Linked DNA regions of Danio rerio. The protein of the gene in region 6 interacts with the protein of the main gene of each other region in a biochemical or structural test. Links are inferred from orthologs where the notes say so. Each region holds a gene or a part of one and is shown on either strand. Other genes may lie near its edges. The genes, in order: itcha, cdkn2a/b, sdc4, ep300b, mterf4, si:ch211-202a12.4 and cuedc1b.

Region 1 (4,024 bases), on a different chromosome or scaffold from region 6:
AGTGACCGGTTGCAGCTGGAAGGGCATTCACTGCGTAAAACATATGCTGGAAAAGTTAGCAATTCATTCCACTGTGGCAACCCTGGATTAATAAAGGGACTAAGCCGAAAAGAAAAGAAATAGATGAATAAATGAATAAGCACTTGCACAGATAAATAAATAAATAAATAAATAAATAAATACCTTAACACAGTATATTAATATTATTTAGAAATAATGTCATGGTACTAAAACCATGCACAAATAAATATGCAAAAATGCAGTGACAGCTGAGTTCCTAAGTGTTTAATGTTTTTACAAGGACTTGCATAAATAAATAAATCTGTTAAGATACCGCGGTAAAGTTAGTTTGACATTTGACATTCATAAAACATTCGGTTTCAAACCAAATAAATTCTTTGCTCCTGTTATAGTTTAAGCCAAAATATGTCAGCCAGACATAAATATGTGCCCTTTATGTTGCACAAAGCTTAACTTCTTAATTAAAAATAAATTAATTAACCATACGAATAAATTAAACAATTCAACCATATTAAATTATACTATAAAATAAGGACCAACATGTTCAGAAAAAACAACCTGGTTTATTTAATTTATTTTTTAATAATTTAAAAAATACTTTTAATGTAAAAATGATAAAAGTCAATTAAACTATCACACCTTTTGAGATAATAGAATAAAGTCAACTCAAAAAATGACTAAATATTTTATGGTGCACAACCTTTTTGGTTTTTTTACAGTTTTGCCTTTGTTGATTTTATATACAGTAATGAATCCATATTTTCATTAAGTTAAATACACTGTAAACACTTACATGAATTAAACACTATTTGAGACATGAACATTCAAATAGAAACCACAACTATGCCATGTCTATCAAGATCTTTCAGTGAACACCATGGATGATTGTACTACTTTCCCTGTCAAACAGCGCCATCTCGTGAAAGAACAAGCCTATAAATAATCTTAAGAAATCTATTACTGGCTCACCTTGACGTATAGACACACATATCTAGTCTTTCGCTCTTTATATTAGTAAAATACCGCGCAGTGCACACCTTTGTATAAAGAAGCATTGAATAATCCAGATAGACGCGCGCGTCGTCACGTGACGGGGTCGCGCAGATACGTCACTCCGACATGGAGCCTGTGCTGGTGGCGGACCTTTGGTCACCCGGTTGAGATGGAGCAAAGTTTATTAAAACGGCGAAAAGCTGATCTCAGATTCCGTTAAAACTGACATCTAGAAGCATTCCCTGTGATCATAACACGGTAAGATATTAGTGACACACACCTATAGAGGACAGTATGGCTTTAAACCAGCCGTGTTTTGGTAACGCGTTACCGTTAGCTTGTTTGACCGGTGACTGACTACTGGACTCTAGCAGGTGATGTTTTGACAGCTCGTTACTGTACCTTAACTATAGTCTGAAACGATTTACAACGGCCAGTTTTCATTTTCCATTTGATATATGCATGTAGCTTACGTGTAAACATCCGTCTGTTGTTATGCTGAATTTTGTAGCTGCGACACCGACAGTCAGTAACGTTATGTGACGTCACTGCTCTCAAAAGTACTGTAACTGTATGTGTGTTATAACACAACGATGGTATGTACATAAAACTGACCTGTCGTCTTTATCCAAGGCACTGAATGTATATATCACGACATTTACATAGTAACTGTTATGCCATTATAGTTCCATGCAATTGTGTGCACAATTAATGTCTGTTCATGATATAGGCTACCATCTGATGTCATTTCATGGCGCTTTTTAATGTCTTTATACTTTCCAAATTATAAAAAAGTAAGATACAGCAGGTCAACATGGTTACAGAAAGACATTTCTAAAAAGCAGTTTGAATATGAGTTATTTATTTAATCATGCACTAATTTCTGTACATTTCCACACAGTAATCTTTTATTTATTGGTTTAAATAAAATATTGAAATTTAAAAAGATGAATTTTTAGTACAATGTTTAAAGATAGGGCAGCACGATTGCTCTGAGTTTCCTCCAAGTGCTCCGGTTTTCCCCACAAGTCCAAAGACATGCACTATAGGTGAATTGTGTAGGCTGATTTGTCCATTATCTATGTGTGTTAATGAGTGTGTGTGTGTGTTTTCCAGTAATAGGTTGCAGCTGGAACGCCATCCGCTGCATAAAACATGTGCTGGATAAGTTTATTCCGCTGTGGCGGCCCCAGATTAATAAAGAGACTAAGCCGATAGGAAAATAAATGAATGAATGAATGTTTAAAGATATGTATTGTAGCACATTGGACATTTTAATGCACGTTTAAATGCCTATTTAAGAAACTGGAATGTTTCTGACTTAGTGCATGAAAAGCTCACATCCCCTAAAGAAATGTACTTTAAGATTTTGACGGTAGAATAACCTTGGATAAAAGTATCACAGTATCACGGTATTTGATTACTGCCCTAAAATATATTATTTTTAAATGTCTGGGTAAAAAACTAAAACTTGTTTCCCCTTTGAAAACGATATATTTTATTTTCTGAAAGATTTATAATATTTTGAAGCAGTAAACAAGTCAGGCTAAATAATTAAAAGAAATCATTGACTTCTGCTGTTTTAAAAACACAGATTTCTTTACAATTTAAAACGACATCCTTGGACATTTTTTTTTTTGCTGGAGATAGTGTTGTCCTAAAAAAATGTTAGTAAAAATCCTACACATACCTTATGAACAGTATTACAGAAAATGTTGGCGGTTTTAAAACCTTGACTTTTCCAAACCGCAGTATATTTTGAAAACAGTTATCGTCCCATGCCTACTACAGACACAAATATAAATATATATATATATATATATATATATATATATATATATATATATATATATATATATATATATATATATATATATATATATAAAGTGAACACTTAAAAGTATGTTGTCTCTTTAGTAATCTGAAGCAGTCCAAAAATTGATCAGTATATAAAAATCAAGGATTTGCCTGTAGCGTTCAGTCTTAATATATTCAAAACCCCAATAAACAAGTGTTATTCAACGGTTGCAGATTTGTGAAAATCATTTCCTGACAATTGATGAAGTGCTTAAAAATCGTTATAATTCTTTATGTGGTTAACTAACCTCTCTGACAGATTGCTGATATTAGCCGCCACCCTGATTCACTGGCAGGCAGAATTAAACTTGAAAAAGTTAATGATGCATTAGATGAAACTCAAACCTGTTACCATGAATAATAGTTCATTGGTTGATCAATAAACCCCTCAGAATTGTCAGTGTGGAGCTGAAGAAATTAACCAGGCATTAAGACAATGTTTAAACCTTTTAACAGATAATTACTGACAAAAAAAATCTCATATTTGTTTATTGTTTACATATCAAGTTTTTAAGTATAAGACTTGAATAGTCTGCACTCTGCAGGCTGCTGTATGTTTTCATGCTTTTATGCTCTTATTGGAGTTTGACAACAGCAGCACCTATTAAACTTTCATTGTAGTGCAAAGAATGAGAATTATTTATTCCATTTTTTTCCCACAACAGTTGTTGTTTTTTTGGTGAAGATGTTTCTTACAGAGTTAAGGGCTGTTCATATCAAGCATTGCAGCTATAAAGATAATGACAAATCAAATCAAACAACTTTTATTGTCACATCATCAGCAGCATGTGTACTATGATGAGTGAAAAGCTTAGGTGCTGGCTCTGCGTTTCAAAGATTATTTTTAAAAACATACAATCACCCATCCGCTGCATAAAACATGTGCTGGATAAGTTGGCGGTTCATTCCGCTGTGGCGACCCCAGAATAATAATTGGTCTAAGCCGAAAAAAAAATGAATGAATGAATGAATATACAATCATCGGTCACTATTAGGTACACCTTATTAGTGCCTGGTTGGACCCACTTTTGCCTTCAGAACTGCCTCAATCCTTCATGGCAGAAATTCAACAAGGTGCTGGAAATATTCCTCAGTAATTTTGCTCCATATTGACATGATAGCATCACACAGTTGCTGCAGATTTGTCGGCTGC
Region 2 (4,108 bases), on a different chromosome or scaffold from region 6:
GTTTTTTATTTTATTTTATTTTTTTATGATATTTTATGTATATTTTTGATCCAAAATAAATAAATCAAATCAAAACTTCTTTTTTCCCCCTTTTAATGTAGGAATTTCAACTGTGGTATTAAATATTAAAATGCTCATGCCTATTTACTGGAGTTGTGAAGTAAACTTTGTGCAGGATATCTTTTAGTTACATAGTTCAACTATTCTATTTCTACATGTTGTTTAATATCTATTCAACAAAACTAAGTAAAATAATTCATTTTTAATCGTTGCTTCTATGACATTTAAATTAAATTTTCTATTATTAACACTTAGCCAGTGGGGCTTTGCCAACTATTTTTTTTCTTTAATATTGTACTGCGTTGGTTTGTTATGATTATTTTATTTACTATTTCATATTTTAGTATCTATTTTGCATGCACATTAACCAATATTATTAACATGTTAACAACATCAAAACATGAATAAGTTAGAAAATTAAATACAAAAGCACACTGTTCTTCATTTTAAACAGGTGCATCTCAGAATGTGATTTTTACTTTATGTAAATGATCTACACAGCCACAGGACCCTTTATCTTTTTACTTATTTTCAACGTATTAGAGAGGCAACAAACTCACTGCTAAAATTAAAAACTATTTGCTACAATTGTTTAATACCTTGTTTCTGGATACAGGCTATAGTTTAGCTACAGTCGTGTGATGGGGAAATAGCATTACAAAACTGTAAGTCAGACGATGTTTGGGCAAAATTATGGCCATTCGCGTCCTTTCTATCGTGCAGAAAATAGATTTATGTTCATCTACAATCAAAAACAGAACAACCATTATGAAAAAAATATAAATATAGGCTACCACGAATGTATGTATATGCTTTTTTGTTATAATTTATGTGGATCAAAAATATAGTTTAACTTAAGCGCCCCACACAGCATAATGGCTAAATAATATACTTTAAAGTAGCCAAGTCAAACTTAATCTCTACAGGCCTAGCTAACATCGCGTCTTAATCAAAATCCATAAAATAACTTTACTCTTGAAAAACGAGAGATTTTTCCTGGTAACGTTAGCCTATTCCCGAAGAGTAACTTCTCCATGGCACAAAACCCAATTATGTTAGCATAATTAGCGTTGTGATATGCTTATGTACCCGAAAAAAAGAATAAAAAAACTTCTTGTGATCTAAAAGCAGGCTAATGCCAGTTACATTAGCCATAAAACATTAGCAGAACCTAATTTCTGTTTCTCTGCAGCCTCTCCTACTGTGTCGTAAACTCATGTCTTCCTGACTCAGCTGTTGTGCGCAGGCGCAGTATGACAGTACTGCACCACGGTTTTGCTGTGACGTTTATGACAGAGACAAGTCCGAACAAATATCTCGCTACGAAAAATTATTTTAAGACACAACACTTTGATAAACGAGTCAGTTTCGCTTATTTACGCATTATATTGGAACATGTTATTCATGGAGACCGATAAAAATAAATTACAGCGTTGAACTGATTGTTTTCGCAGTATCATCATCATTTGGTTTTACCTGTGAAGCGAATTAATTTCGAAAATCAATAAAGATGATGAACGTCGAGGATGAACTGACCACAGCAGCAGCCACCGGAAACATTTCCCATGTTCAGTTTTTACTTTCTAACGGAGTGAATGCCAATGTGGTTAACAAATTTAGAAGAACGCCTATACAGGTAGGTTTAGACGCGCTTTAAGAATAAACAACGGAAATAAACAAATGCAAATAAATAAATAAGATTAATTGCAGATATGTAACATTAAATTAGTAACATACAATTCAAAGACTTATTTTGTATTAAAGGTCATATTATTTAACAAATTTAGGCTATTTCATATTTTCACACCTGTTTGACTATATGGGATTTACTTTTCTTTTTTTTTTTTAAATATTAGGCTATTTGTGTATTTATTTTACTCATTTTAGCATGTTTAAGAACCTTTTAGGCTACTTAAACGGCCTGAAACATGTTTACCAATAGCGTGTTATCAACCTATATAATACTAACAACACTTTCTATCTTTTAGTAATGTCATTAATTTTAACATTATAATTTTAACTTATAGCTACATTCTTAGAAATTAGTCCGAAATAAGACAAGGAGTTTTGGATGTATTGTCAAAGTTCAAATTATTCAAAGAAAACTAAAATCTTATTGAAAACGAAAGTCCCAATGTACTATAACTGTGTATAAAAACCAAATGTTTACAATTATATATAAGAGATAGATAGATAGATTTATATACATAACAATAAATAAATAAGACATTTTATAGATCTTAATTTCAGATAAATTTTAAACTATTAAATCATATCTCTATGTGCGAGAAGAATGGCACACTACTTGCTAATTCACTCCCGAAAGCTTTGTTGGCATCGATGGTTTTAAGAAGAACCTTTTGCATCTATGGAGAAAATTTTTGAAAAATGTGCCTTTAAACTATTAAAATGTTTATTTCATTTTTTGACAATAAAAATACTTCTTTTGGAAGCTTTGTAATAGGTTTTCTGTGCGGAACCAGAAGGGCATCACTGCGAAAACCCTTTTCCTCTTATTGCCATGCTTGTTTTTACGAATGTACGTTTAATATTTTGACATTTGTACAGTTGGCCTATATTGACCAAAATAATCAGCCACCACTAGCACAGTCATAGACTAATGGAGTATATATTTTAGACCATACTTATTTTTGCTTGTTTTTATAATCGTGTAGGCCTATTATTATAATATTTGGTGTGAAAGTTTTCATCTAATTTTCACAATGTCCAATGGTTTTACGGTTCATGCTCTCGGTTACGGGACATCAAAAGCCGAAGAGGTAGCCTACAATAAAGTGCGTATAGATATCTTTTAGCACACTTTAAACAGATGGACAGCATACATCCAGAAATCGTAAAAGATTAGGCAATTGTAAAACTTCTGACGAGCATGAATTGCCTCAGAAAAATGTCAATTAAACGAAAGATGTTTAAGAAAATCACAAATGTGAACAAAGCATATTTATGGCATACATTTTATTTAAAATGATTATAGGAATCTTCATAATTAATCATATGAAAAATAAGAATTAGCTACAACACAATTTGTTGCATTTAATTGATTTACTGCCCGTGAATAATTTATTGATAGGCTAAAAGAGTAATGCATCATGCACAGCAATGTTCAGTGCCAGCATGTGCACTGCTTTCGTTCCTATTTAACCAAAAAGTATCTACTTTCCAGATTTCGAGTGATGGCAGTAAAATTATTGATTAAACAAACTTCTTTACAGTGACATCATGACGTTACTGGCGTTTATTTTTTCATGAGACAGCAATTTTCCCCCTCTCCAGGTGATGATGATGGGTAACGCACCTTTGGCTCTTGTGCTGCTGGAACAGGGAGCGGACCCTAATGTGCCTGACCCCGACACAGGGAGCACACCTCTGCACGACGCTGCCAGAACCGGATTCATTGACACCGTGCGGCTTTTAATCCGCTTCGGCGCCGACCCCAATACAAAAGATCACTGCGATTTACGACCAGTGGATGTGGCACAACAGACTGGCAACGTAGACGTGGTTGAATTACTCAATCGTGTTTAAAATGTTTAAAGACTGCATCACTGCATAGCCTAGGCTACTTTAGGTGGTAACCTTATTAATGCACTCAAGTACTTATAATTCTCAATAGCACATGGTCATTCATGTAGTTTGGAGATTCTAATCATTTAAAATTTTATTTCTGTATCTTTTAAGTTTATTTATTATTATTATTTATTATTAGCTAGTCAATGGGAACTTCAATAAAAGGCTACAGACACAAACCATCATACGCTCATGCTAGCCTATAGTTCGCATAATAAAAAGTGTAGACAGCATTATGTCCAAAGATAAATAAATAATTAAATAACATATCCACCTATTTGTTTTTAACCTGAAAAGCATGGCGACAAACATTGAATCAAATGGCTTGCAACGCAAGGACATCCAATATTTTTGGCGAGCTCTTTCTTTTTTCATTTCTTCCGGTTAAACATGCTTTTATTAAGTTTATAATATTGTACGACTAATAAAAATGAAACTTTCTATTTATACCAAGGCATAA
Region 3 (4,091 bases), on a different chromosome or scaffold from region 6:
AGGCAAAAAGGGGACCAATCCAGTACTAGTGAGGTGTACCTAATAAAGTGGCTGGTGAGTGTTCCTAAGATTGAGAAGATATAAATAGTTGTGGCATTTGTTATTCAAATATGCAGTTTATGATGTTATTATTAATATGGTAACTCTTCAAACATTTTTTTATATTTAATGCTAATATATTTACTAACAACATTTATTACAGTATTTATTCATCTTTGTTAATGTTAGGTAATGAAAATAAAGTTGTTTATATTAACTCCATATCACCCTGCAGCCCAAGACCGGTGACTCACTGAAGCTAAGCAGGGCTGAGCCTGGTCAGTACCTGGATGGGAGACCACTAGGGAACACTAGGTTGCTGTTGGAAGTAGTGTTAGGGAGGCCAGCAGAGGGCGCTTAACCTGTGGTCTGTGTGAGTCCCAATCCCCCAGTAAAAAGTAAAGGGGACACTAAACTGTCAGTGGGCGCCGTCCTTCGGATGAGACGTTAAACCGAGGTTCTGACTCTCTGTGGTCATTAAAAATCCCATGGCACTTCTCGTGAAACAGCAGGGGTGTAACCCTGGTGTTCTGGCCAAAGTCCCTCTATCAACCCTTATGATCATGGCCTCCCAATTATCCCCATCCACCGAATTGGCTCTATCACTGTCTCTCCACTCCACACAACTGATGTGTGGTGAGCGCACTGGCGCCGTTGTCCTGTGGCTGCCGTCGCATCATCCAAGCGGATGCTGCACACTGGTGGTGGTGTGGAGAGACCCCCCTTATGATTGTGAAGCGCTTTGGGTGTATGGCCATACACAATAATTGCGCTTTATAAATACACATTACATTACAACTCAGTGCATTATTTAATGTTAACACAACTTTGGATTTTAATAATGCGTTAGTCCATGCTGAACTAAGATTATTAAATACAGTACATGTATTGTTAGTGTTTGTAAACAAATCAAATCAGAGACCTTATTGTACATTTTGTGCATTATTAGATCTTTACCAATGGCTAATATGCTAATATGCATTTAAAGTTATTGAATAAATAGAAATGAGTTAATAAAACAAGGGTGTGTTACAATTATATGGAATGGAAACAGGATTTCTATTGAAGCCAAATAAGTATACATACGAGATTTCTCCTTAAAACAAAAGACTTGTTCTTAGTCACCAATAAACTGGAATGAAATCGGACCTGCCAGTCCACTATTGCACAAGAAATTGCATTGTTGTGCAATCCTCCAAAAAATGACGTAATTTTGTGAGTTAATGTTTATGGTGCATCGACGGCCACTAGAGGGGAACGCAGCTCCATTCACTTTCCCTCCACATTCTGATGTTCTGCTGATGATTTACACTGGTAAGCTGTATAGATATATTATTAAAACTTATGTTGTTCTCTTTTAGTAATATTTAATGAAGCAATAAGTCACTGGAGCCCACAAAGTTTTTTTATAAAGAAACATTTTAGTATAAATCATTCTGTTAATCAGCTTGATTGTTTTAATGCTGGTTTTGTTAGCCTTTAGCATGTTTGACAGAAAATACATTTAAATGGTTTTAATAGAGATCTCACTAAAAACAAGAAATTTGTAAGCGACCAAAAGATCCCACAAGCCACAGCATCTGCTGAACACTGCATGCACCAATTGAGTTTTCTTATTTTTAGACTGCAGGGTTGGAGTCTTGATCTCGTGGTCATAAATGTGGTTTTCGTCAAGGCCTACACTCGAAAGACTAACTTAGATTAATAAAAAAATGTAAATCTTGATCTCGATCTGTTGCTGAGACAGAAAAAAGTGTGTGTGTGTGTGTGTGTGTGTGTGTGTGTGTGTGTGTGTGTGTGTGTGTGTGTGTGTGTTTCCGAAGTGCCTTACAACGAAAACTGATAATAAGAAATCTGTCATGTTTTAATAAATATGAAAAATAATTCATAAAGCATATAGCATATATTTTAACCAGTAACATATATTAAGTTATCAGACTTAGTTTTGTCAAAAATTTGCATAATATTTGAAAAAATTAAGCAAAAACATAGGCTAAAGACTGAATGTATAAAGTCAAGACTATTCAAATTCATTTCTATCACAAAAACTAGAAAGAAGAGCCAATAGCCAAGTTAAAAATAACAATATGTTAAGCTTAACGTGCTACATGCTATTTACAAGCTAGATATGTGTAAAAACATGCTAGCGAAATGCTATTAGCATGCTAAAACTTTTCGGCTTAAAAAATGAAAACTGCTTGCTAGCAACTTGCTAATACATTTTAAAACATTCTAGGAATATGTATGTTAGAAACATGATGAAACATGAAATCAGTGAGCTATCATGCTAGCAATACGATAAAACATTTTAGTATCAGGGTATTAACATTAAAATTGACTAGCTGGATTCTAAAACATGCAAACCATGTTAACAGCTCGCTCAAACATGTTATAAACCATTAAACATGTTAAAAGCTGTAAGAATGAAAAGCAATGTGTTAAAACACAAACATGCTAGCATAGTTACATCCCTGCTGAAAAATTTGCTTAAACCAGCCTAGGCAAGTTGGCTGGTTTTAGTTGGTCAACTGTGCTGGTTTAAGTGGGGTTTTGGCCATTGCAGGCTGGTTTTCAGCCATTTCCAGCCTGGTATTAGCCTGTCAGGCTGGGAGATGACCAGCTAAAACTGGCTAACCAGCGTAGGCTGGTTTAAGCTGTTTTTTTTCAGCAGGGATGTTAGATATGTGTAAAAAAATGCTAGCAAAATGCTATTAGCTTGCTAAAACATGGCGGTATTGCTCAAAAAAATGAATACTGCTTGCTTACAACTTGCTAAAGCATTTTAAAACATTCTATAAAATGTAAAACATGTTAGAAACATGCTAGCAAAACATGATAAAACATTAAATCTGTTTTAAATGTTAAATGTTTTATCTCACTACCAAAGAGATAAAACATTTGGGTATCAGGCTTGTGAACATTAAAATTAACTAGCTGGATTCTAAAACATTTAAGTTACATGTCAGCAGCTTGCTCAAACATGTTATGAATGATTTAAAACATTGAACATGTAAAAGTTGTAAGAATGTAAACCAACGTGCTAAAACACAAACATGCTAGCAATGCTATTTACATGTTAGATATGTGTAAAAGCATGCTAGCAAAATGCTAATAGCATGCTAAAACTTGGTGGTATTGCTAAAAAAATGAAAACTGCGTGCTAGCAACTGGCTAAAACATTTTAAAACATTCTAGAAAATGTAAAACATGTTAGAAACATGCTAGCAAAGCATGATACAAAATTAAATCAGTGTTCTACCAAAGAGATAAAACATTTGGGTATCAGGCTAGTCAAAATTAAAATTAACTAGCTGGATTCTAAAACATTTAAGTTACATGTTAGCAGCTTGCTCAAACATGTTAGGAATGGTTTAAAACATTGAACATGTTAAAAGCTGTAAGAATGTAAACCAATATGCTAAAACACAAACATGCTATGCTAGTTACATGTTAAATATGTGTAAAAACACGTTAGCAAAATGCTTTTAGCTTGCTAAAACATGGCAGTATTGTTCAAAAAATGAAAACTGCTTGCTAGCAACTTGCTAAAACATTTTATAACATTCGAGAAAATGTTAAACATGCTAGAAATATGAAAGCAAAACATGATAAAACATGAAGTTAGTGTGCTACCAATGAGATAAAACATTTGAGTATCAGGCTAGTCAACATTAAAATTAACTAGCTGGATTATAAAACATGCAAACGACATGTTAGCAGCTTGCTCAAACATGATTGGATTAAAACACTAAACATGTTAAAAGCTGGAAGAATGAAAACCAATGTGCTAAAACACAAATATGCTAGCAATGCTATTTACATGTTAGATATGTGTAAAAACATGCTAGCAAAATGCTATTAGCATGCTAAATCATGGCGGTATTGCTAAAAAAATGAAAACTGCTTGCTAGCATCTTGCTAAAACATTTTAAAACATTCTAGAAAATGTTAAACATGTTAGAAACATGAAAGCTAAAACATGATAATTTTTAATATTTATTATTTTGTAAGTAGCCTAGGTCAGGACATACATGTTAAAAGATGGTTAAAAT
Region 4 (3,500 bases), on a different chromosome or scaffold from region 6:
CCCAACAGTGCTCTACCTTAAGCACCAGCTGGCATGAATCGGGCACAGCCGCCCAGTTCGTGCACGTACACATCTGCATATATCCATTTGTCGGCCCGCAGTCAAATTTAAAGCTTGATGTATTGCTCTGAAATACAATCAGATTTAATCAAAATAACCCCGCCCCCCATGCTTCACTTGGCTGTGCACCAGTTTAGGGAAGAAAACACATTCACAGTTTCCTTTTCATGCAGAATTTAATTTAATTATTTAAAAAATAAGTATTATTTTTATTTAGAGATCTATCCATGTAAGAAGTTTGCTAAAAACAAAATTGTTCTAATGGTTGCATTATAAATTTTTATACGTTTGTAGTTTTTAAAACATTTGCATTTCAACAATTAATTCAAGTGTTAATAAAAAGCATAACCATTAGGATTTTATACTAAATTGGGTCACACGTTATGGAAAGACACTATTTCTGCTCTTAATAAGCAATTAATCAAAACTTTTATCTAAATAAACAACTAGTTAACTACTAAACAACTACTTATAATTACCGATTCTTGATCATTAGTAAGGTAGTAGCTGTGTTTGGGTAGGATTAGGGATGTAGAATAAGATCATACTTTATAAGTGCTAATAAACAGCCACTATCTTAATGATAAGCCAGCAGTTAACAGTAGCGATTGGTATTTAAACTGAAGTGTTACCTTAAATTATGAAATAGAAACAGGAAAGAAATGTTTGAACTCTGTTCCTTTCACATTCACAGAAAGATGTTTGAATCTATTCTTTCAAAAAGTAAACCCAACTGTGGATACCTAAATTTTGACACAATGTAAATACATTTAAACATCTCAACAAATTACTCCACCCACACATGTATAATTTCCAAATATAGCTGTACATTCCATTTAATAAACTCTCTTATGTTGCATAAAATAATACAATGCTAGCTTTTATTTCCAGTATAGTTAAATCACAGTTAAACTTGAGGCTGTTGTTTGTTATTGATCATGTGGAGTGATTATAAAGGATCTTCTGGTCTTTCCTAGATGGTCCTCATTCAGATCCGTCTTTAGTTCAAGCCACTGGTCCCAGTCAGATGGTCAATCGCATGCAGAATCCTGCTGGTATGCCACACTCACTAAATGGTCTGTAGTTGATGCACTATTGCTACATATATATGAAGGGTTTATGTGCAAAGACAGATTAGTCCATTTTTAGACATCATGTTTTGTACAATTGCCAAAAAAGAAATCATATTTTCACCTTGAGTGTTAAAGAGTACATTTGCAAAAAAAACTCATATATAACTGTTGATTTATCTGTTTTTATATGAACTCTTCATATATATAAAAGTCATAGTTTTGTTTTTGACTTATGTTTTAAACTTTGTAATTGCTTTCATCCAGGTATGAATCAATTTGGCCAGGTGGGGATGCAGCAACCAATGGGACAGAGGGCCACGCCTCCCCTGCCAATGGGTGCAAACCTCAATCAGGTAATTTCACTTGCCACCCAAAGGTCGGCGACTGATGTAAATGTACCTGATTGAAGCATTTATTTGGCATCTTTATTGTCTGTATTTAGATGAGCATGCAGGGAACACCTCGAATGGCTCAGCCCAATGTACCCCAGTTACAAAACCAGTACATGCAGAACCAGTTTACAGGAACGGGTGCTGGATTGGGACAGGGTGCGGTTGGCCTGAATCAACCTGCAGGGCAGGGAGCCATGCCGCAGGTCAGCTATTAAACCACATTCATATCTTGTTACTCAGAACAATGTGATGTCTCTAATATTTCTGTATGATAGTGTGTAGTGGTGCTGATAAGAGTGTTTCTCTTCTGAACTCTCGTGAAAGACAATAGCATAAACAGTTTTTAAAAAACAACCTTTATTTATTGAAATGTAAGCCTCACTCAAATTTAAATTTAAATCTCTTTAGATTCATTATTAGACATAGGTTTATTATTAAACATTCATAGAATTTAATGTTAAGAAGTAAGTGTGTAAGTGATGTTTACCATCATTTACATTTTATGATGAAAAATCATTCTGATGTATTCCTAATGTTTAAGTTAGTAATATTGTACTTTAAAACATTAACAAGACATCGTATCAGCCAATAGCTTATAGTTTATAATATTTGCCATTTCTGTGTTTTCAGTGATAGTTTAAACCAACCAATGATCAGTTCTGATTAGATCACATGCTGTATATAAAGTAAATGTAATGCAAACCTTAAAGACTGTGAAAGTAAAATAAAGTCTAGTAACAATAAAAGCATATTTTAACTGGTTCTTCACTGACAAGTTTGTTCAAATTTATTTAGATGTATAAATAGGGCTGGGTGATACTGCAAAAAAAAGTATCACAATATAGTGTTTCATATCATTCGGTATCATAAAATTTTTGAATTTTTTTTTTTTTTACAATTAATTTAGGTATATTAAGATTTTTTTAACCACTTTATTCTAATTTACCAATATTACTAAGGCACATCGTTTTATTAGATAAAAACAAAAGTATTTAAACAAAACATCTCATCTCTTCATAATAAAAAAAAACATAAGTGTTAAAGAGACACCTAAACTTGATAAATAAAATGTTACAAAGTGTGTGCAATGATAAAGTGTAAACGCTGAAGAATCGAAGCAAACTTTGAGGTGTGAATAGTAATGATACAGTAAACCTCAAACTCTTGTTAACAACACAAATTATCATAATCAAATCTGAGCTTTTTAAGTAAAGGACCCAGCCATTATTATTCAAATACACACTGCAACATTACAAATAGTGGAGTTCAATGACTATATTACCCCCTAAGCTAAAAAAAAATCTTTCAGATGGGGAGCTAGTGGCTGGGAACCACAAGAAAAGAAACCAAAAAGCCACTCTAGCAATACTTACATCCTTTTTTATTTACAATCTTCTAACTGCTGCTAGTCACGACACTCATTTTTGTGTGTGTTGTTATTCTGACGTGAAGTGACAAGTGTGAGCGCATGGTGTCCCTCACCATTTTCTATGCGATTTGCGCTTGCTCTCCCCTAACATTAAGGCATTAACCGTTTTCTCAGAGGATGACAAATAGACAAACCATTGCTGCAGTTTCGATACAAGTTTATGGAGAAAAGTAAAAAGCACATCAGTGTTTGGATGCGCTCTGATTGTCTGAGGTAATTAGTCTGCCGTTATTATCGAGATGTGTGTAATATGAAAATATGTGAATATATTCTATAAGTGTGAAGCAGATTAGTTAGTTCTACTTACATGAGTCGTGGTACGCTTGCGGCATTCGGAATAGTTGTGATATTTTCAACTATATGCGCCTGGAAATTGTGCGTAGGTGTGTGCCGCTTGCACAACATGTGTGCGTTGCTCCCATATGCACGACGTGCAAGTCACACGACTCCATTGGAAATGACAAACTTGCACCATAAGCTTATTGGCAGTGCTCAGCAGCCACATTTTAATAAAACTATAGCACTTGATAACAAAACATTATACTG
Region 5 (4,028 bases), on a different chromosome or scaffold from region 6:
ACTTCATCGAGTAGTTGTGAAGACACACCATTGATATTTTGGCGGTGTGCTTTGGGTCATTGTCCTGCTGGAAGATGAACCGTCACCCCAGTCTGAGGTTAAGAGCACTCTGAAGCAGGTTTTCATTCAGGATGTCTCTGTACATTGCTGCATTCATCTTTCCCTCTATCCTGACTAGTCTTCCAGTTCCTGTTGCTGAAAAACATCCCCACAGCATGATGCTGTGACCGCCATGCTTCACTGTAGGGATGGTATTAGCCTGGTGATGAGCGGTGCCTGGTTTTTTCCAAATGCAACGCCTGGCATTTAATCCACAGCGTTTAATTTTAGTCTCAACAGACCAGAGAATTTAATTTTTTATGGTCTGAGAGTCCTTCAAATGCAAATTCCAGGTGGGGGGTGGCTTCCATCTGGCCACTCTATCATATATGCCTGATTGGTGAATTGCTGCACAGATGGTTGTCCTTCTGTGAGTTTCTCCTCTCTCCATAGAAGAACACTGGAGCTCAGACAGAGTGACCATTGGGTTATTGATCACCTCCCTGACCAAGGCCCTTCTCCCCCGATCACTCAGCTTTAGATGGCCGCCCAGCTCTAGAAAGAGTCCTGGTGGTTCCAAATATCTTCCACTTACGGAGAAGCCACTGTGGAGGCCACTGTGCTCAATGGAACTTTTAGAGCAGCAGAAATTTTTCTGTAACCTTTCCCAGCCTTGTGCCGAGACAATCCTATCTCGGAGGTCTACAGACAATTCCTTTGTCTTCATGCTTGATTTGTGCTTTGACATGCACTGTCAACCCTGGGACCTTATTTAGACAGGTGTATGCCTTTTCAAATCATGTCCAATCAACTGAATTTACCACAGGTGAACTCCAATTAAGCTGCTGAAACATCTCAAGAATGATTCGTGGAAACAGAATATACCTGAGCTCAATTCAGAGCTTCACAGCAAAGGCTGTGAATGCTAATGTACATATGATTTTTCAGGGTTTTTTTTTTTTATAAATTTGCAACAATTTCAAAAAAATCTTTTTTATTCCACATTGTCATTATAGAGTATTGTGTGTAGAATCTTGAGGAAATCTATTTTGGAATAAGGTTGTAACATAAACAAATGTGGAAAAAGTGAAGTGCTATGAATACTTTCAGGATGCACTGTATTAAAGCTGTAGGTTCAATTGGGCTGAGGACAAAGACAGGGTTTGTACATATGTGTAGTTTTTTTTTTTTTTTGCCGCTTCTGTAAAGGGGATTTATTTTAGTGTGTGTATCCAGTCTATATGTTGATAGCAGGAAGTAACTTAAAAAACACAGCTGATTTGTGTGCGATTTGACTTTTAAAATAGTTACTGATATTTTGTGGCATGATGAAGGCCTCAGTCTTTAGTAAGTATATAACTATATCACATATAAAACACACATATCACGTAGGAGCAATTCCAGCGTTATTATGGATGCGATATTTGCAGTAAAAACTCAAATCATGAATTCACAAAGTATAGGTTAACGTTAATGTTATATTGAAGCAACTGTTTATATTTTCCAAAACAACAAACCACAGAGTTATGGAATGAAAAAAATATCAATCTGCATTAATTTTTTATTTTTTATATGAGGAAAATAATCATGTCATATGGATGTCAAAAAAGTTTGCCAGTTTACAGTATACAACATACTTTTTAGAAATTCTTTGAATTAATCTGCACATCTCAAAAGAAATTATGCTAATCAAAAGATGTTTGCCCTCTATAAAATATATATATTTGAGGCGTTTGAGGGAAAAGTTATGAATGTGACATCATTATGGATGTGACACTTTTACGTTATGGATGTGACCGATATGAAATTGGCACTTGTATGACCATAGTTAATGAAATATAATTGTTTGAAAACACGGAAAGAGACATTTTGAGCTTTTTTCAAAGTACTTGCATAGAAACGGTTTCTCTATTTTGTTGAAAACATTTTTTATCATGGCAAGTTTGACATTTGCATGGAATGGCTCGTATACAACAATATCAGAACAATATTCGTACAACAAAACAACATTATTCTGAACTATAGCTACTTAACGTTGCCAAATATCTTTTTTTTTTACTAAATTTGATTGTGTTTTAAGAGTTTTTAAAGATACCTTAAGTATTTAGATTTAAAATAACATACAAGTGAGTATTTTAATGCCATTACATGACCCTAAATGATTTTATTTTTCCGTATAGAGCCCACTGCAAACGACTGAATGGCGCTTAGTGGCGTCTTCTGAAATTCGTGCTGAAAATGTATGATAGTGTTTAACGTTATTTCCTACTCAGATAAAACACTAAAACACGACACAAACTACATGTCGTGTATAATTGATTAATTTTAGAGGCTATGGACGATTTTAGCTTCAGTAGGGCAAAATGTTTTTGTAAATATTAGCTACACATGTGTTTGATCAAGTTTGAATGAAGGTCACATTGTACATCAAAACAATGAGACAACTTTAAAAATTAATTAAACGTAATGACATTTGTATTTGTTTTGCCAATAACCAAGAGCCCTTAAAATAAAAGTTAACGCCATTTCTCCAACTCGATTTATCGCAAATAAATGCAACCCCGGTTCCAGTCAGTGAACGACAGACAAAAAATCCGCGTCTAACCAACATAAACGCGATATATTAATGACAAATTCTGCAATTGAAGGTCCAAATTTAGCGTTCAAGAATCTTAATAGATGTAAAACATTTATTTTATCCCTTACACTGTACCTGTTTTATGCATACATGTGAACCCATAGCTGTGCTGCGTCAAAACACGACCGACCCCGCAACAACAGCCAGAGCTCAAAAGTTCCGGATGCTTGAATGACCAGAAATAAAGACCAGAGTAATTATTAAAGTTTTTATTGAAGAATTTCACTGACATCAACATATAATAGAGGCTTTACAAAGCCTGTGCGCATTCTGAAATAAAACCAGCATCATTAACAGATGAAACGATCTAAAAATACGCCAATAATGATTAATTTATAGCATAAATACTGAAATGTTATAAAAATAATTAAAATATTCTTAATTTAAAAGTTTAAAAATCAACCTAAAATTATTTTAAAGCTCTGAAGGCCTAATAACAAATGTCTAAAGCTCGAGTGAGTATCATCCTTCAGGTCTAGTGCGCCTGCTGCATGTTTTAACTGGACAATCCTTCAGCTCGACTCCGCAACATTACAACCAAGAGCACAACTCTGAGTGAAAAACACAAGACGTTTGATAAATACACTCCTGTTCCTTCACCAAACATGGAGATGAAGCAGTTTCTTAGCAACACAGATGGCTTTCATTCCCAGTGCCACTTTTGCTTTGCTCTTTGGCCGGCCTGGAATCATCAGCAGCAGCTGGACGGACAGATTCTGCATTAGTGCTCATGGTGACATTAGATGTAAAGTAGTAATTAGCTGAGCTGAACGCATTAGTGTCTCTTTCACAACAGTGGCTCACTCGTCGGTGAGATATTTCAACAGCTCAGACTGAAGCGCCGCCATGGTTCTCCTCTGCTCCTCGTCGTCTTCATCATCATCATCATCTTCTCCTATTGGTGTGTCTTCTAGCGAGCTCAGATTGTTTTCAGAGTTTGTGTAGAGGACTTCTGCTCGGTGCACACATGATGACTTGGAATCTTAGACAGAAATAAGTATGATTAGTCCTATTTTTTTTTTTTTTAGAAAATGTGCATAGCATGATCAAACATTTTAAGACCAAGCCATGAAATTATCATGAACAATATGAAAGGAACACAGTTCCTATATTATTTAAGTGTGACCCTGGACTCATAATCCAGTCTTGTTTTACATGGGTATATTTAGGCAAAATCCAAAAACACATTGATTAAATGATCAATTTGTCTTCATGCTAAAAATCATTAGACTATTACATAAATATCATGTTGGTGAATATATTTAGCAAGTTTCCTACTGTGGATATATCAAAAATCTATTTTTAATTAGTTATGTGAATTGCTAAGTACTTCATTTAATCAAAATTTAGA
Region 6 (4,020 bases):
AATAAATGAGTTTGAAAAATAAAACCGATGAACATTTTGGGAAATTATCCTTTGAGCAGGGAAGCTGCTTGGTGTCAATTATCATTTAATTATACTTTGGTGGGAAATTATCTTTTGAGCAGGAAAGCTGTGTGGTTTTCCACACTACACTCAATTCGAAAGGACTCATCCCTATGCGCTAATCTCTTTAGAGGAACCCTCTGAAGGGATTAGGGCATAGGAATGAGCCCTTCAGATTGGAATCCATCATGTATTTTTTTTTGTTGGTGGTTGAGAAAGTGCATTTCTGCCACCTATAGGACTGGAGTATGAAACTTGGTTGGGGGCTTAAAAAACTGTAACCACTTTTAAACCTAATTTTCCAGTCCGGAGACATTCAACAATCCAGATGACACCTTAATGATCTCTTTAATGTGGTAATTCTAATGTGTGATTAACACTTTACTCAGATTTCTTTCAGTTATTTTTCAGAATAATTCTATTTATTCTCTCTTGAATTATGTAATTTGTTATTAAGCATTTTTATGACAGTAACTTGTTTAATTTTTTACACAAACTTTTTTGCGCTGTATGACCAATGTATAATCTTGCAATTATCACATTTTTATTGTTTGCTCTGTTTTCCACGCAAATGTATCCTTATAAATGTTTTTTTTTTTGTTCTCCCATTCTTCTGCCTGCTCACTTTACTCAGCTGTACCCTGAAGTTAATATCAGGGTTCATTATTACCATACACAATCAGTTTCTTTTAAGCAACCAAAACATCCACTGGAACCCACGCAACTAACTATAATTCATATTTTATAATGCTGTATAATCTCTGGTCCTGTAATACGATGTATCTTTCCAGACTGTTCTATTTTTGTTTATACAGTATGTCAGTTCTTCTCTTTGCCTGGTCTTGTCTGAATCACCAATAGCAAAGCGAACAAACACTAAACCAGCCAATCACTGCCTGCAGGTTGTCCTACAAGTCCAGCCCATTCCAGCACATTGTGGAAACTTCCTTTATGGGTAATTTATGATTAAATTATACGTTTCAAATATTGATACATAACTTGTATTTATTTTTAAAAAATCAAATAATTCCATAGTTTTAACATTTATTTTAATTTTTCAAACGAAAAAAAGGTTTTGACTACTAAAAGACCCGCTCACGTGACATGAGAACGTCACGCTGTTGGGTTTGTATAAAAACAGTTTCACTCGCTTCATCGGCTGATTTTTCTGCGAAGAAGAGAAGAACTTATTCACTTTCAGAAGCAGTTTCAGCGATATTTATAAGGTAAGAAAGCTATTCCAGTTCGATTTAGAACCTTCATAAAGACCTTTAGGTATACTATTATTGATATTTCGTCATTCCTGTTTATTGTATTGATTTTGGCGCTCATATCCTCGACATCCTAACTAAATGTAAAGAAGTAATTTTACAGTCCTTAATGCTTTGACTAGAGTAATACTCATACGATGTTATTTTCCCAAATTGATACGTTTGCTTTTTAATTGTTAAATTGTTCAATGTCGCAGTTTGTCAGATTAAATTATGCTGAGTCATGGCGCTGTATGAACAAAGAACCCGGATATTACTGTACAGCGGCCATGTTTGTTGTTGCGCATTACCGTTTTTAAATGATGACATTGTGCAATTTTTTAATTATGTAACTTATTGTTTTATGTAATTTAGGAGGTAATGTTAACATAAATAACTATTTCGATATAGTGTATGAATGAAATTACAAGTTCATAACTCAACTTTTATTATATTTCTAAAAAACAAACATTTTTAATATGTAGGACCAGACGGAATCTGCGGGCGTTTTTTGCTATTTTTGCGTAGAATTTTGCTAAAAATCTGCGGATTTCTGCGGAATTATTTTGGGAGTATCATAACTAAAACCTTAATATATGAATTTAAAAATAATATCTTTTAAACTTTCATTTAATGTTTAAAATGCAAATCCAATTAGATTCACTTTATTTGGTAAACAAAGCAAGTCTAATATAATGTATCTACTAAAAGACAAAGAATCACTGTACAAACTGCATCGTATATAAATCAGATGAACATTTTCATACAAGTCAATAATATTACTGTTATTAAAAAGTAAATAAATATAGATTTACCCACATTTACTCTAGTAAATAAATAGAATTAATCATGGACTTAAATTTGCGGAATTTTGAGTGCACAGATATAGATAGATAGATAGATAGATAGATAGATAGATAGATAGATAGATATAACCCCCGTTTCAATTTTAACTATTTTCTGTAAAGCTGATTCTGGGTTAATGTAGAGTAGCTTTTACAAGGCATGCATGTCCACGTAATGATTTCTATTACCTAGGAGACACCCTTAAGTTATTGTCTCAGGTAAGAGGAAATCACCCCTACAGGGTTGTGCTCTATAGAAAAACTTAAGCTTGAAGCATCTGGATTGATATTGGCATAAAATAAAGATTTTAATAATTTGCTAATATGCTAATAATAATTTGTCACAATGTGACAATGTCCTTGTTCAAACTGTTAGGGTAACTAACATTTACTCTATTCTTCCAGTTAAACAGGCACTTTCATGTAATTTGATAAATTAACATGTTGTAAATCCAGCATCCCTCCACTAACATGGTGGCACCCATGATCATTATTAATCTGTGAAATGGAAATGGATGCGTTTGTATCATAATATTCATTTATCAGAATATGATATTTTCTAATATATTTAGGATGTTAACCAATGTTTGCATAAAATGACAAAATAAGTGAGAAAATTATATACATAAATCTTCAGGGCTGCAATGTCACATGATAAACTTGATGCATCGTCATGGAAGTCTCAAAGTGAGAAGTTTTAAATTATCGTCAGATTAATAAAACATTTAGTGGGGGTCAGAGAAAGATTTAGAACTTGTGTTTGTGAAAGGATGAGCTAAAATCATTCTGTATTGTAATAGATGTGCTAACACATTAGCCCTGCCCTGAATTAAGCCTATGCTCTCAGATTGACAGATACTATATGTGGTAGGAGGGTTGCACGGTTTACCGGTACTATGGTAGCATCACGATACTGTGGCTTCAAAATACTGGCAGTGCCACTGTAGTTTGTAAACGGTAGTATCTTCATTACCGGTCTATCTATATTATGTAGTGTTGCTTGTGAAAGTGATTAATGCTCACACATATGTGCATCAATAGACCATTTTATTTGAATAGTCTGTGGAGCCCCTTAAGGTTGCATGTTTTTTAACATTTCAAACGCACACCTGAAGCGGTTCATTCTGTTTCTGGCAATGTGATTTAATAGCTACAGCAACCGCAGCAATCTCTTAAAAACAACTTAATGTCTTAAAAAAATATTTTTAATTACTTTGGATTGTTCCCTGATAAGGCTGAAAAAATAAAAAAATAAATGGAAAAACCCAAAATAGTAATATTTGAACAACTTTTGACCACTTATATTTTTCATCACTTTCATAATTTTTTTTTTAAAAATGCTCTTTTCGTAACAAATTCCATTTTGTTTATTTGTATCTTTATTCTAATGTATTTTTTGTTGATCAGTTATCTACAAAATAAACAAAGTATAAATAAATTTTAGGTGAAATAGTGTGCAAATAATACTTATTTCTTTAATTGAAATTAAATTCATTTAATCATCATTCATTTAATGAAACTCAAGTAGACCTATTATAACATATAAAATATAGTATTTATGACAATTTTCCTTATAATTTGAGTTATGAATTACAGTATGGCATTACTATATGGTATCGTGATACTTCAGCTGGTATAGTATTATAACGTGAATTAATGGTATCGCGACAACTCTAACATGTGGTGTTCCAAAAAGATTTCTTTTTGAAGATTTAAGGTAAAATCTTAGATCAGTCGTATAAATCTGTACAAATTTTAGTCATTGCTAATCTTCTTTTGATAATTTGTTTACAGATGCAGATCTTTGTCAAGACCCTTACTGGTAAGACCATCACCCTTGAGGTCGAGCCAAGTGACACCATTGA
Region 7 (3,500 bases), on a different chromosome or scaffold from region 6:
AGCTTGAGTTCAGACCATTAAACGGCTGATGCTTGTCAGCCAAAGGTTTTCATAATGAACTGTATGGTTTCCGACCTCATCTTGTTAACTGCTCATTTCTGTATTTGTTTTCAGTTTGAGCAGAGCTAATGGGGAGATCACGCAGTGGGACACAAAGCTAAAGCGCTCAAGACCAGACCGTCTACTTCCCTCGTGCCGGTGACTCCGTGCTGTCGTGTTGGATGCAGCTTAACAAGCAGAAGAAGAGAAGGAAAGGATTTCTCTCGCTCCAGTGGACTAGATTCTTTATAGTATGATGAAAAAGTGAACTTGCATACTTCCACAAACCAAAGAAACACGTGAGAGAAACACACAGAGAAGTTTTGTGGGAGACATCAGACACCATCGTTTCCCTTGTGGCGTGGTCGGTCTGGAAGGAAAACGGGGCTCCTGCAGGATGACCAGTCTTTTCCGACGCAGCAACAGTAATGGAGGGTCTCGGGGTGGCGGGGGCTCGGCTGCAGGCGAGCTCAACAACTCTAGGCCCAACCGGCAGGTTCGACGGCTGGAGTTCAACCAGGCTATGGAGGACTTCAAAACCATGTTTCCTACCATGGACTATGAGGTGATCGAGTGTGTACTGCGCTCCAATAATGGTGCTGTGGACGCCACCATCGACCAGCTCCTGCAGATGAGCATTGACGGGCAAGGCTCAGATGACAGCTCAGATTCAGATGACAGCATCCCGCCAGAGGTCAGTGCTTTTTTTTGAAAGTGCTTATAGGTTTTGTTTAGACTCGCTATTAAGATGAGTTTTGTTGATTCAGTCACAAAAGAAAGTGCAGGATTTCCAAGGGTCAATGAGTTTGTGAGTCTAGGGAACAAAATGCTCAGAAGTCCTAGAAAATAAATATGCATAGATGGTGGCCCTTTAAAGTGCTTACAATTATTTTGTGGAAGATTGAAAAAAATCATATTATTCTCTTCAGTTTGCTAATGGGTTATTTCGCCAACACTTTGTGGCCTGCGCATACTAGCTTGCTTAATTTACAGTAGTTATGAGCATTTACACATTATGTTAAAGGTGCAGTATGTAAGTTTGACACCCAGTGATTGAACTAGGTAATGCATTCCTGGATCAAAACAAACGCAAGCGCAGGTTGCCAGACTGAGGTCCAACAGGAGCGAAGTCTAAATTCTGATTACAATCGTGTTCTATATAAAAGCAACGGCACCCAATAGACCATGTATACAGTAGTTTTTGTTCTTACGAACACCTTGAATTGTTATGTAAGAAACGGCTTCTATTTCTTGCAACAACAACAGAAAAATTTTACAATGATCACCTCAGGTACACCTCATGTGCTTTATTCAGTGTTAAATGCTAATAATGTGAGTTTGAATCCTATTTTAAATTACGTTTATTGCCAAGCTACTGAAAACAGCAGCAGATAATTCACCTCAGGTCTTGAAAAATAAAATAACCTATTTGAAATTAAACTTTAGAACTGTGAAATAATGCAAACCAATGCATATCAGTGATTCAGCATGTACATTCATTAATGTTAAAGAGGGTTAATATGTATTAATTAGATTATAAACCTTACCACGAGTAAGTGCATATTCTGTGCTTCTGAATGGCTGTATTTACATTTCTGTCGTATTTTGTCTGGTGCAAACAGCCAAATTGCTTATCACTGCGTATTTCATCATGTAGCATGTTGTTAGGACACGCGGTTTCAATGTAACCTGCTCACCTAATGTTTACGTTCGTAATATTTATATTATTTGCTAATATCATGTGGAATCTCATTTTAGGGCTGTTGCCATCCACCAGAGTTCGCATTTCGGTCTCTGACGCATGCTTTGAAAGCCTTTCTGAATGAATGAATGAATGAATGAATGAATGAATGAAAAAAATACATTGTTTACCAACAAGGCAACCCGGGGTGTTGAAATATAATTGGCTAATGTGGCAGTGGGCAGGTTAAAAAAAAAAAAAACAAAGGCAGACCTTCCGGCATGTTACGCACATTTTTTTAAAGCAAAATAACTGACTTCAGCATTGTTTTTCAGATAAACAAGTGTCACTTAATGTTTCTTAAATATCTGCAAACATAATATGGTATTTTTATGCTCTAGAAGAGTCAAAACCGTACATACAGCACCTTTAAATGTACTTTGTGTTGTATGTTACCATGATGTTCATTCGCAAGCACAAAACAACATAGACAAACTGAAAATTATAATGTCTTAAACGCAAATTTCAAGATATTTTTCTTAAATGTAACCTTGCTTTCACTTGAAATGTGTCCCCACATTACATTTACATTTACATTTAGTCATTTAGCAGACGCTTTTATCCAAAGCGACTTACAAATGAGGACAAGGAAGCAATTTACACAACCAAGAGCAACAATGAATAAGTGCTATAAGCAAGTTTCAGGTCTGTAAAGTCTAAGAAGGGAAGTATTAGTAGTATTAGTTTTTTTTTTGTTTGTTTTTTTTTTTTTTTGTACAGTTAGTGTGATATTCAGAGAGGCAATTACAGATTAGGAAGTGTAGTGGAGACTAAATAGTTGAGTTTTTAGTCGTTTCTTGAAAGTAGCGAGTGACTGCTGTTCTGATGCAGTTAGGGAGTTCATTCCACCAACTGGGCAGATTGAGCATCTACATTAAGGGTATTGAACCTGGAAAGTTTTTAAAAGTTCCATAAATTTGAGGTTAACCCAGGTGTGGGAACCTCGATAAAGGTTTAAATGGGGACTATAAATGTTTTGAGTTCATTCACTTGATCCAATGGGCTACATGCACACAGACTTTTCATTTTCAGCCAGGCAGCCCAAGGGCTTCCAGTGAAATGTCTTTCTATTAAAAAATTGTCAAGTTTGAAATCTGATTTCTTTAAAAAATCAGCAATCTTCGCTGCCTGTTAGATATACGATATGAAGTGGGTCTCAGATCAGACAAGAAGCACTGAATTAAGTTCCGTTTCCCCCTGCCATGTCTTTAATATATGACAGTTTATTTTACCCCAGTATTTTCAATGGAATTTCTGCGATAACCTGTTGCTACTGACGCGTTAGTGGTTACAACGATCTTTCATCTCATTTTAAGCTTAAACAACTAAATGAATGCTTAAGTCTGTTTAACTGAATGTATTATAATTACATTACAACATCGATGCTGCAAAAACAACCTTGTAAAATTGAAAATAATCACATTTAGCTTTCAGCAGAAGCTTATCGTTGGCTTTAAAACTCAAGCTGTGCATAGAGCCCAAATTGACTAAAACAAATCTAACTGTTAAATGTAAACAAGGCAATAGAGCGCAGTAGTCAAATACAGAAGTAAAGCCTCTATTGATTTCCATTTAAGGAAATTGATTTTTAATTATAACTTGCAACCTTAACCAGCTGTTTGTTTGTTTTTCAACATAATTAGGAATAATCCCATTGAACAATTGAATCAGCAAAGAAAATTACATTATGTATGATGCTGTGCAGAGTCATAGTCAGAAA

The links.
Region 1: of the proteins of si:ch211-202a12.4 (region 6) and itcha, one has a biochemical effect on the other in vitro, tested with the Homo sapiens proteins (7 studies listed by BioGRID, with this or other methods). The link is inferred for Danio rerio from reciprocal best matches to the Homo sapiens genes UBC and ITCH.
Region 2: the proteins of si:ch211-202a12.4 (region 6) and cdkn2a/b form a complex in vitro, tested with the Homo sapiens proteins (2 studies listed by BioGRID). The link is inferred for Danio rerio from reciprocal best matches to the Homo sapiens genes UBC and CDKN2A.
Region 3: the proteins of si:ch211-202a12.4 (region 6) and sdc4 form a complex in vitro, tested with the Homo sapiens proteins (2 studies listed by BioGRID). The link is inferred for Danio rerio from reciprocal best matches to the Homo sapiens genes UBC and SDC4.
Region 4: of the proteins of si:ch211-202a12.4 (region 6) and ep300b, one has a biochemical effect on the other in vitro, tested with the Homo sapiens proteins (2 studies listed by BioGRID). The link is inferred for Danio rerio from reciprocal best matches to the Homo sapiens genes UBC and EP300.
Region 5: the proteins of si:ch211-202a12.4 (region 6) and mterf4 form a complex in vitro, tested with the Homo sapiens proteins (2 studies listed by BioGRID). The link is inferred for Danio rerio from reciprocal best matches to the Homo sapiens genes UBC and MTERF4.
Region 7: the proteins of si:ch211-202a12.4 (region 6) and cuedc1b form a complex in vitro, tested with the Homo sapiens proteins (3 studies listed by BioGRID). The link is inferred for Danio rerio from reciprocal best matches to the Homo sapiens genes UBC and CUEDC1.

What each region holds. Positions count from the first base shown.
Region 1 is NC_133181.1:60,243,379-60,247,402, reverse strand, and holds the start of itcha (itchy E3 ubiquitin protein ligase a), read left to right. Parts: upstream 1-1,224; 5' UTR 1,225-1,272; intron 1,273-4,024. UniProt on the Homo sapiens protein: Acts as an Acts as an E3 ubiquitin-protein ligase which accepts ubiquitin from an E2 ubiquitin-conjugating enzyme in the form of a thioester and then directly transfers the ubiquitin to targeted substrates.
Region 2 is NC_133176.1:27,776,115-27,780,222, reverse strand, and holds the start of cdkn2a/b (cyclin-dependent kinase inhibitor 2A), read left to right. Parts: upstream 1-1,308; 5' UTR 1,309-1,570; coding exon 1,571-1,696; intron 1,697-3,354; coding exon 3,355-3,606; 3' UTR 3,607-4,108. UniProt on the Homo sapiens protein: Acts as a negative regulator of the proliferation of normal cells by interacting strongly with CDK4 and CDK6. This inhibits their ability to interact with cyclins D and to phosphorylate the retinoblastoma protein.
Region 3 is NC_133181.1:55,445,720-55,449,810, reverse strand, and holds the start of sdc4 (syndecan-4), read left to right. Parts: upstream 1-1,291; 5' UTR 1,292-1,353; intron 1,354-4,091. UniProt on the Homo sapiens protein: Cell surface proteoglycan which regulates exosome biogenesis in concert with SDCBP and PDCD6IP.
Region 4 is NC_133178.1:23,771,861-23,775,360, reverse strand, and holds part of ep300b (histone acetyltransferase p300), read left to right. Parts: intron 1-1,037; coding exon 1,038-1,136; intron 1,137-1,397; coding exon 1,398-1,486; intron 1,487-1,575; coding exon 1,576-1,728; intron 1,729-3,500. UniProt on the Homo sapiens protein: Functions as a histone acetyltransferase and regulates transcription via chromatin remodeling. Acetylates all four core histones in nucleosomes. Histone acetylation gives an epigenetic tag for transcriptional activation.
Region 5 is NC_133177.1:47,696,925-47,700,952, reverse strand, and holds the start of mterf4 (transcription termination factor 4, mitochondrial), read right to left. Parts: upstream 2,801-4,028; 5' UTR 2,780-2,800; coding exon of another isoform or gene 2,753-2,779; intron 1-2,752. Other genes in the region: pask (PAS domain-containing serine/threonine-protein kinase), read right to left, coding at 3,478-3,659. UniProt on the Homo sapiens protein: Regulator of mitochondrial ribosome biogenesis and translation. Binds to mitochondrial ribosomal RNAs 16S, 12S and 7S and targets NSUN4 RNA methyltransferase to the mitochondrial large ribosomal subunit (39S).
Region 6 is NC_133180.1:42,862,380-42,866,399, forward strand, and holds the start of si:ch211-202a12.4 (polyubiquitin-C), read left to right. Parts: upstream 1-1,220; 5' UTR 1,221-1,286; intron 1,287-3,949; coding exon 3,950-4,020.
Region 7 is NC_133190.1:33,810,655-33,814,154, reverse strand, and holds part of cuedc1b (CUE domain-containing protein 1b), read left to right. Parts: intron 1-114; 5' UTR 115-436; coding exon 437-733; intron 734-3,500.